Linked DNA regions of Canis lupus familiaris. The protein of the gene in region 2 purifies or fractionates together with the protein of the main gene of each other region. This does not show direct contact. Links are inferred from orthologs where the notes say so. Each region holds a gene or a part of one and is shown on either strand. Other genes may lie near its edges.

Region 1 (3,658 bases), on a different chromosome or scaffold from region 2:
TTCATTTATTCATGAGAGAGAGGCAGAGACACAGGCAGAGGGAGAAGCAGGCTCCCCACAGGGAGCCAGATGCAGGACTTGATCCCGGAACTCCGGGATCCCTACCCAAGCCAAAGGCAGATGCCCAACCTCTGAGCCACCCAAGCATCCCAAGAGCATGCAACTTTTGATCTCCGGGTTGTGAGTTCGAGCCCCATGTGGGGTGCAGATTATTTAAATAATTTTTTTAATTGCTCAAAATTGGGAATCCCTGGGTGGCCCAGCGGTTTAGCACCTGCCTTCAGCCCAGGGCGTGATCCTGGAGTCCCAGGATCGAGTCCCACATCAGGCTCCCTGCATGGAGCCTGCTTCTCCCTCTGCCTGTGTCTCTGCCTCTCTCTCTTTCTCTCTCTGTCTTTCATGAATAAATAATTAAAATATTTTAAAAATAATTGCTCAAAATTTAACATTCAGTTTTCTTGAGCCAGTAAAAGCCAGCTCTAGCGTATTGCTGCTACCAACCTTTGATCCTCCTCCTGGTTAGTCTTGGGTGGGTTCTTCTTTTTCCCTTTAGAGAAATGTTTCTTGTGTGCCCTGCTGATGTTTGCTCTCTTTCTGTCTCCATATTCTTACCTGGCTTGCCACTACAGGCTTACCACTCTTCTCTCATGGACCCTGACACCAAACTCATTGGAAACATGGCATTGTTGCCTATCAGAAGTCAATTCAAAGGACCCGCCCCTAGAGAGAGTAAGTCAAAACTTCTTTCTATTGTTCTCAGATTTTAGTAGAAAACATCTAGCAACTCTCTGACATTAACAAATCAGGCAAATTCTTAGCTCAGTCCTCTGTCTCAGACTGCTCTTGGATATTCTATTTGTTTGGTGGATATTGCATTCTAGACCTTTCAAGATCAGGAGTATACATTGCATCTAGTAAGAAAGTGTATTAATGCTGCTGAGTTCTTCTGAATATTTTGTTGAGAGGGATGAGGAAATATTACTTATTTTTGACATTATTCTGTCATCACTGTCAGTACTTACAAAGTGATCTAATGCTACTACTTCTGTAGGATACCATGTCCCCATCCTTTTTCTGTTGTAAGGCTGAGGAAAACAAAGAAGACATTTTAACTCCTTCCCCTGTCTGTATCTACTTCCTTTATTCATTCTTCAGGATCTTCATTTTCAGCAGTACCTGGATCTTAAGTTGTAAGTGTCTTATGTAAAATTACACATTGTTTCTCTTGCTTTTCTGAATTTTATATCTTTTCTTTTTTTAGTACTTCCCCTTTTTTTTGAAACATTTCCTTACTGTTCAGAAAGCCTCCTTCTTTTTAGACTCTTTGGATACATTCTGAGATGTTCTACCAACAGTGTAATTTATATTATAGCAGACATGGCTTCCTTGCATCCAGAAAGCATCTGCACTGAGTTCCATTCAAGGTTTTTAAGGTTTTCATTGCAATTTGCACTGACCCCATCTTCATTCCTCTGCCAGACTATTTGACGTGACCTCTCCTTAAGTTTATTTTCAACACCAGTTGAAAGCTCAGTAAACTAAATAAACTTGGTGAGTTACCACAGTTTTTACTTGATTCTGAGATGAAGAAAAAGGAACAGATGGGAAAAAAAAAAAAGATTTAAAAGAAGAAAAATAATGTAAAAGAATTACAGTGCAAAGAAAGAATAAAAAAATCCATGTTGGCCCAGATTCCTTGAGAAGAACTCTTTTCAGATCTTTACAAAATACCATGTAGCATATCAGAAGATGCAGTTGACTAGAGATGGAGTGTATCTAATTACCACCTTCGCAACAACTCGTGGGCCCTTGAGGGAGAGCAGGACCCCAAGAAACCAGATGGACATGGTTTCTGTAGACAGAGAATGACCTGTTATTCTTTCCCAGTGGACAGGATTGGAACTGAACTGGAATTATGAAAGAGTACAGGCCTATGCTGTGAGCAAAATAACTGTTAGCATTAATCAAATTCATTTCTTTACATTCATCAGACACCTTTTGAGCACCTTTCTGTGCCAAACACCCTTCTAGGTTCTGAATCTTGTAGCCCACCCCCGCCCCGTTCCTCACCCCCCACCCCCACATTGTTACATTTAGAAGAACTAGCTGGTTTTATAAACAATATGGAATCTTCTGAGGAAGTTTCCTTTTTGCACATAAGAAAATTGCAAGAACAGGAGTCTAGAGTTAGAATTCTGTTGCGTTCTTTAGCAGGGGAATGAGTAGGGTTAAAGACAGCTGAATCACAGAGTACTAAACCTCCAGGATTACTTTGCATTTCTTCTGTGTGAGAGGGAGAGCAGTCATTGGACAATATAAATAACTCTGGAAAAAAAAAAAAAAAAAAGACCACCAAAAAACTGTCTCTGCATTGCTGCAACCGGCTGCTGGATATCAAGACCCTGGGATTTTGACCTTTTTAAAATAAGAAAAGGAAAACAAAAACCTGCCAAAGAAATTGTATAATGAGATCTGTCTTTGTCACAACAGCATTTCTGGCTTTTCTCAGTCTCTCGCCACCTAGAACAGCATGTACAAGTATATTTTAAGCACGGTTTTCATAAAAAGAAAGATGTATGTGTAAGCCCAGTGTGTTCCTAAATGATAGTTGAGGGTTTTTTTCCGCCTGAAACCATAGAATATAAATTCAAATAGAATTAGATTGAATACTTTTTATTTAAACAGCATCTTATCAAGGTTTAGTCTATGCCTAAGTTCATTTTTATAAATGAACATTGAGACATCTCTCAATGTCTGGAATGATGTTCACCAAATGATAATAGTAGTTATTTCTAGGTAGTGAGATTTAGAGTGACAATAAAATGTTTTTTGGTACTGGTTAATTTGTTCCTAATGAGAATATTTTTTTATAAAAACAATAAAGCTATCAGAATAAACCATATCCTTATTTTTCTAGATATTGTTTCTAAAGACATTATATTTCAGTGGCCTCATTTTATGGAACTCAACTCCTTTGACCATGGAGCTGGGAAGTTTACTCTCTAGCTTTTTTAAGTGTTATTGTTATATTTTAGCTCATGTTCTCTGCCTCCACCCCCCTCTTCGGTCCTGTTTAGCAAAAGATACAGATATTGTGGATGAAGCCATTTATTACTTCAAGGCCAATGTCTTCTTCAAAAACTATGAGATTAAGGTAAAGTACAGAGCTTTTAATATTTAATTTAGTTTTCTGGTGTGGATAATAAGCTACCTGGTAGTCAGGGTTGTTCTGAAGAATAAATAAAATTGAATGAGATTGTATGACTTTAAAAAATGAGAATAGTGGGGCACCTGAGTGGCTCAGTTGGTAAAGTATCTGCCATCGACTCAGGTCATGATCCTGGGTTCCTGGGATCAAGTCCCACATCTGGTTCTGGGCTGAGCAGAGAGTCTTTTTCCCTCTCGTTCTGCCCCTTTCCCTCCCCTCCCTACTTATACTCTGTGCTCTCTCTCTCTCAAATAAAAAATAAATAAAATTTAAAAAAATTTAAAACCAGAATAGTGCCTAATATTAGACTCAGTATTAGTTTCTCGTTTTTCCTCCAAAGTCTATACCATGGGTCAACAAACTACAGCCTGAGAGCCAAATCTGGCCCACTGCCTCTTTTTGTTGTTATTGTTGTTAAGAGAGTATGATCAGGGGGAGCTGCATGTAGAG
Region 2 (2,552 bases):
GGGCTTTGGCCCTGGGCATCGCTGCCTCCTTCTCCTTCACAGGAACGAGCCCAGGGCGTGGTGCTGAAGGTGCTTACCAACTTCAAGAGCAGTGAGATTGAGCAGGCTGTGCAGTCGCTGGACAGAAACGGCATTGACTTGCTAATGAAGTACATTTATAAAGGGTTTGAGAAGCCCACAGAAAACAGCAGCGCTGTGCTACTCCAGTGGCACGAAAAGGTATGTGAATGCACCGCCCACACGGGTGGCCTGCTGACTTGCCCCCACCCTGGGGTTCACGTGCGCAGGCCAGAGGACAGTCTGAGAGGCATGAGAGAGTAAGGGGCTCCACGAACAGCAGTGTAGGACGACTCTGGCCACTCACTTCTTCCATAGAAGCACCTGGTAGGGTTCACTGGCTTTGGTAATTGGAATTGCTTTAGCTGCTGATTTATGCCAGGCGTGTCATGGGCACAGGTGACTTGCATGGTGAGATAGACAGGGAGTCCCAGGTGGGAGGGAGGCAGGCTTGCTTGTGGCTGGGGCTTCAGAATACTCTCTTTGCGTCAGCGAAGGCAGCTGCTTCCCGTTGGTGGAGATGGTGGTTGGGGAGGGTCTCAGGAACGCAGGCTGAGCCCCCAGCTGCCGCTGGGAGCTTCCTGCTCTGGCCTCATCCTCACTAGGCCAAGCAGGCAGTGGCAGAAGCCTGGCTTTCACCGAATAGGGCCTTCAGCCACCTGAGGCACAAAAAGCTGTGCCTGTCCTTTGCTCAGGTCGATACAAGAGCAAGGCATTTCATCTAGCCTGTGTCCTGCCTGTGTGCCAACGTCCCCCGGCCCTGTAGAGGTACAGGAAGCTTGCTCATCATTATAGCAGACCAGGCTAGTACTAACACTGCGTCCTTCCAGAAGGCTCTGTTGAGTTTTGAGGGGTCAGCCACTTGGGCAGCCTCGGTGCTAGGCTCTTCTGGTGGCCTCTGGTCCTGTTGCTGGGTGTGCTGGGCCTGCTCAGCCGGAAGGTGAACTCTCCTGGGCTTGGGGAGGGTGTGGTGGCTGTGCTACTCGGAACTGAGCAAGCCCTCTGCATGGTGTGGAGGCCAGACCCTGTGGTCCCTGGTGCTGAGCCCCACTGACGTTTCTAAGGAGGGCCTGGGGAGGCAGCTGGAATGGGCTCATATCTTAAGTGTCCAGGGTAGTGAGGGCAGCCTGGAAACAGCGTCAGAAGGGAGGCTTGGGGGGAGCTGTGCTGTGTGTGTGTGCGCTTGGTAACCATGTTCCCAAGCCCAGTTCTGCTGCTGGGAGCCAGCAGCACTTCAGGAGCCTTGGCTCCAGCTCCGTGCTTAGGATGTGGGCTCTCTTGCTACCTCCTAACTGCTCTTGCAGGAACCCATTTCCAGAGGATCGGTGACATGGTGGGACCTAGGTCCGGGGGTGCCAGTCCCATCTCCCCTGGCAAGCCGGGCTACCCCTTGGCTAGCCAGGTTTCATTTGACTCCTTTCCTTTTCCTGCCCCCACAGGCATTAGCAGTAGGAGGACTAGGCTCCATTATAAGAGTTCTTACAGCAAGAAAGACTGTTTAAAAAAAAAAAAAAAGGACTCATGTTCCCTTGAGAAGAATTTTGGATGCACAGGCTGATGAAGAAGGGATTGACAATGGACCATCTTCCTAGGAACTCCCAACTAAACTATTTCAGGACATGCATCCGCTGAAGTGTATTTTATTTTCAAGGTGGAGGGAGAAATTGTTTCCTAAATCCTTTGCAGGATCTGATAGTCTATGCCTTTGTCCATGAGTAACACAGAACTGACATCGTAACTGTCTCCTGGAGTGGCTGGCCAGCGTTGGTCGGGGTACCTGTGTGCTCTGCCTATTTCAAATGGGGGAGGGATGATCGGGCACATACAGATCCAAGGGCTGTGGTAAAAGGGAGAGCTTGTTTTTTTTGAAGTAGTAAAACTGAGGGTTTGTACAGACATCCCGTTTTCCCAGAGAAGACGGGCTCTCTTGGGTTCATTGTAAAGTGCCTGCTGCATCAATAAAGCTCTTGGCTTATTAGTATGTACTCCGTGGTGTGTTTCCTGTATGTAAAGTGAGTACTGAACCGGATGGTGCTGAGTGAGAAACTGATGTGGGGGGTGGATGTGCCCCTGTGGAGCGTCCCACCGCCCTCCTACCGCACCAGTACCTCAGGCGTGGGCGCAGTGCTACTGGCTGCTAAGCAGACAGATTTTGCCAAGTAACTTTTGGTTTTACTCCTTTGATTTCTATGTAATTTTGGAGCTTATTTAATAAAGTGCCAAACATTCAATAATTGATCTAGGCTTTAAAAGTCTTTAGTCTGTGTGACTACACTTGGTATCTTTTGGAAGTGTACCCCAGAAGGGTGTGGTCACCATCTCCTGGCCCTGGCTTGGGCTGTGTGGCAGGAACACTTACCGAGACGCTGACAAGTTTAAATACAGAAGAAACATTGTGTTTTCTAGCCACCAACAGCCAGCTTCTCTGAAGAGCAAAGATGTTTTTCTGACCTTTTCAGCACATGGAACTGCACTTTGCATCCTTTTTTTTTTTT
Region 3 (3,387 bases), on a different chromosome or scaffold from region 2:
GGGGGTATAGTCTAGTAAGTACTGTGTTTACAAGTTACTTGGGTTAGTCCTTTTTCCCACCTCAGTGTGGTGGTTCCTTTTTTTTTTTTTTTTAAATAAAATTAGCTTAATTTGTTTCTCTTGTTTTCTTTATGTGCATCCTGCCTCTTTTAAAGTTCTAATTTACTTTTTTTTGAATATGTGAAACATTCCATTTTCAAGTATATACATTTAAGTTAAATGATACAGAAATTGTTATTTGAATTTACTGTTGAAATGCTCTTACTATGTTATTTTTAGCCAAAACCTATTGATGTACAAGTCATTACACATCACATGCAGCGATATGCAGTTTGGTTTGGAGGATCGATGCTGGCTTCCACGGTGAGATAAAGCTTACATTTAAAATTTGATTTTTTTCTTCCCAGATAAAATAATTCACCAGTACTTCTACCATTTAGAAGAACAAGGGAAATTTCTTTAAATTGTATCTGTATTTACCATGAGAAAGTTTTAAAATTGGATACGTATATATGTGCATAGTATTTTAAAAAGTAGAAGTTATTTCAATTTTATTTATTTTTTGATTGCTGGACAGTTTAGAGTGAGCATTTAGAGTTTTAAAATTTATCTGTAGGGAAAATTCTTTCAATCTTGTGATGATACAGATATCAGAAAGTCATAGTTTTTTCTGTGCAAATATTTAAAAACATTAAGATCATTGCATAGGGAGTTTGATGTTCAAAGTTTAGTAAAGTGAATTGTTCTAAGAGCCCTCTCCCCAAACCAGAACATCTTAAAACCCTTTAAAAAGAGTATTAAACCTATTAAATATCAGTGCTTTATCCTGGAAATAAGATGAAGGAGCTTTTATCTGAATTGTTGAAAATTGTACAAACTTATATTTTTAAAACCATTGAAAAATAGGAGGTAAAAGCTATTTTCTTCCTTAGTTTTCATCTTCCATTTGTGCCAAATAACCTAATGAGTTTGTAAATTTGCTTCTTGAGAGAGAAGTTAACAGAGAGAGCAAGCCTATGTCTATACCTTGAGTGAGGAAGGCAAGTTAATTTAGAAGTTTTTGTATATGACTAAGAGGAGTTTATATTTTATTTTAAGAATTTTATTTATTAGAGAGTGCACATGGGGAGGGAGTGAGGGAGCAGAGGTAAAAGGAGAGAGACTCTGAAGCAGACTTCTCAGCACTCAGCAGAGTGTCTGACATGGGCTTGATCCCATGACCCTGAAATCATTGACCTGAGCCTAAAGAATTGGACACTTAAGTGACTCCACCACTCAGGTGCCCCTTATCTATATTTTAGATTACTGCTACTTTTTTGAAGTATTGATTTATTATACAGTGTGGTTGGGAAAACCTCAGCAGAATAGTCTGAGGTGCTGAGAATCAGTTTTCAATCCTCAGAATCATGCTGAAGTAGGGTGATGTGTGTTAGGACATGTGTTAAATGCTATTTTTAATTTCTGATAAAGATTTACAGCTGATTTAAGTCGTGGTTGCTAGAATTTTTAAGCTTTGTTCAAATACTGAGGTGGGCTAATAATATACATTTTAGATTTAGCAAATCTATTTTTTAAAGCATATCAAGAGGTGGCATGTTTTTGACCTTTATAAAAATACATGTTTTTATTTTCAGCCTGAGTTCTACCAAGTGTGCCACACCAAAAAGGATTATGAAGAAATTGGACCTAGCATTTGTCGTCACAATCCAGTGTTTGGAGTCATGTCGTAAAATTGATTTCATAATTATTGGGGTTAGGGAGGTGGGGAAGAAATAATCTTTCTGATTACCTGTTTTGTCTGGATGGCTGGTTTTGAGGTTTTAAACCTGACTTGAAATAAGAAGACCAAACATAATTATACAGGAATATTTTAATAAGTATATCAACATGTGAATGTAGAGGAGAGCCAAAATGATTTAAGTGTTTTTCTTTAGACTGAATATTTGAAACTTATGTGTAACAAAAAGAAGTGGGTTTTAGTTCTTTCTGTGCCCTAATATTTTGTATATTATTGAATTATCCAAGATTTGATGGGATTTATCGGTATGTAGATAGCTCTATAATGCTTGAGTTGTACACTTCCAAGTGTGCAATGCAAGAGCTTGTTTATATTTCATACTTTTTATACTTTGAGGAAAAAGTCAAAGAAAAACTAGTATTTGAGGAAAAACAAGTGACCAAGTAAAGGATAAATTAAAAAAAAAAAAAAAAACAGCCTCATGAGGCTTGGCGTACACACACACTCATGGGATTCCAGTTATTACAAATGGCTTCCACCCCCCTGTACCCCCAATGGTTTTCTTTGCAAGTGCTTTTGGAACTAAGAAGCTAGTATCCTGGATTAACTGATGCCCGCTAGTGCTTCTGATTACTCGAATCCTGTTTCTTGCTTTAAAGGAAAAGTAAAGACAAGACTGTTGGACCAATACTGCAGTTCTGTAGTGTCATTTCTTATTAAAAATAAATAATTTGATTACCAAAATTGGTATATTTAAAGCCTAACACCATTCTAATAAAGGCACAAATTTCTTTTTAATACTTGTTTCAAGCTCTTCAATCTCTTTATAAGTTAACTAATCTATTTTCTTCAAACCTCTGCAATAGTTCTTTAAAATCACAACAGTTGGTTAGCAAGCTGACTTTTTTATGTGCTCTAAACAAATAATTGTGAACTTTTAATATGTTGACTGCTTTCATTTTGATAACTGGATCTCCATTTGATATTTTCATTTGTATAACTCATTTGCAGTCTGAAAATTTTTTTAGTGCCAGTCCCTGACATATCATGGAAAGTTAATTTTCTTTGCATTTTAAAATATCTGGATCATGAAGAAAAAGTGATGAAAATAAATTAAAACTGAATTACCTTTCCTAATGTTTTTTTTTTTTTTTCTTTTTAGAAGCAGTGTCATTCTACTTTGTGTTTATGTATTTTATATGATTTCTATTTCTGTCGGATTCATTGAAATCTCTATAATGTGTATGGTAGAAAATATCTTATGAACTTGAAATTTTACCAGTTATTTATAGAAGAATAAAATAGAAGATGTTTTATAGGCTTTTTAGAACTTGAGCATTAATACCATTGAACACTCAAACTTCATTATCCATGAAAATACACATAGGATTAGTATACTTCTATCTAAACGTTAAAGAACAAAGTGTCTTTGTTGTATTTAATATAAAGATAGAATTGGGAAGTAAACTTTAGATTTTATTTAGAATGAAACAGGATACTTAAAATTATATTAATCATTTCTGTGAAACTTTGAGTGTGGAACTAAAGAACAAAGTATATGTCCTCTGGTAGTGCTGGTATCAAAGATTTTTTTTTTCCCACTTGAAAAAGTAGTTCATGAACATGTAAAAAAGAAAACAATAAAACTA

What was found.
Region 1: the proteins of ARPC5L (region 2) and ARPC3 purify together in Homo sapiens (affinity purification with mass spectrometry; 7 studies listed by BioGRID and IntAct, counting the BioPlex papers as one, with this or other methods). This does not show direct contact. The link is inferred for Canis lupus familiaris from reciprocal best matches to the Homo sapiens genes ARPC5L and ARPC3.
Region 3: the proteins of ARPC5L (region 2) and ACTR3 purify together in Homo sapiens (affinity purification with mass spectrometry; 6 studies listed by BioGRID and IntAct, counting the BioPlex papers as one, with this or other methods). This does not show direct contact. The link is inferred for Canis lupus familiaris from reciprocal best matches to the Homo sapiens genes ARPC5L and ACTR3.

What each region holds. Positions count from the first base shown.
Region 1 is NC_049247.1:8,502,143-8,505,800, reverse strand, and holds part of ARPC3 (actin-related protein 2/3 complex subunit 3), read left to right. Parts: intron 1-629; coding exon 630-729; intron 730-3,035; coding exon 3,036-3,154; intron 3,155-3,658. UniProt on the Homo sapiens protein: Component of the Arp2/3 complex, a multiprotein complex that mediates actin polymerization upon stimulation by nucleation-promoting factor (NPF).
Region 2 is NC_049230.1:58,227,481-58,230,032, reverse strand, and holds the end of ARPC5L (actin-related protein 2/3 complex subunit 5-like protein), read left to right. Parts: intron 1-42; coding exon 43-219; intron 220-1,496; coding exon 1,497-1,559; 3' UTR 1,560-2,042; downstream 2,043-2,552. UniProt on the Homo sapiens protein: May function as component of the Arp2/3 complex which is involved in regulation of actin polymerization and together with an activating nucleation-promoting factor (NPF) mediates the formation of branched actin networks.
Region 3 is NC_049240.1:36,560,996-36,564,382, reverse strand, and holds the end of ACTR3 (actin-related protein 3), read left to right. Parts: intron 1-279; coding exon 280-363; intron 364-1,634; coding exon 1,635-1,730; 3' UTR 1,731-2,871; downstream 2,872-3,387. UniProt on the Homo sapiens protein: ATP-binding component of the Arp2/3 complex, a multiprotein complex that mediates actin polymerization upon stimulation by nucleation-promoting factor (NPF).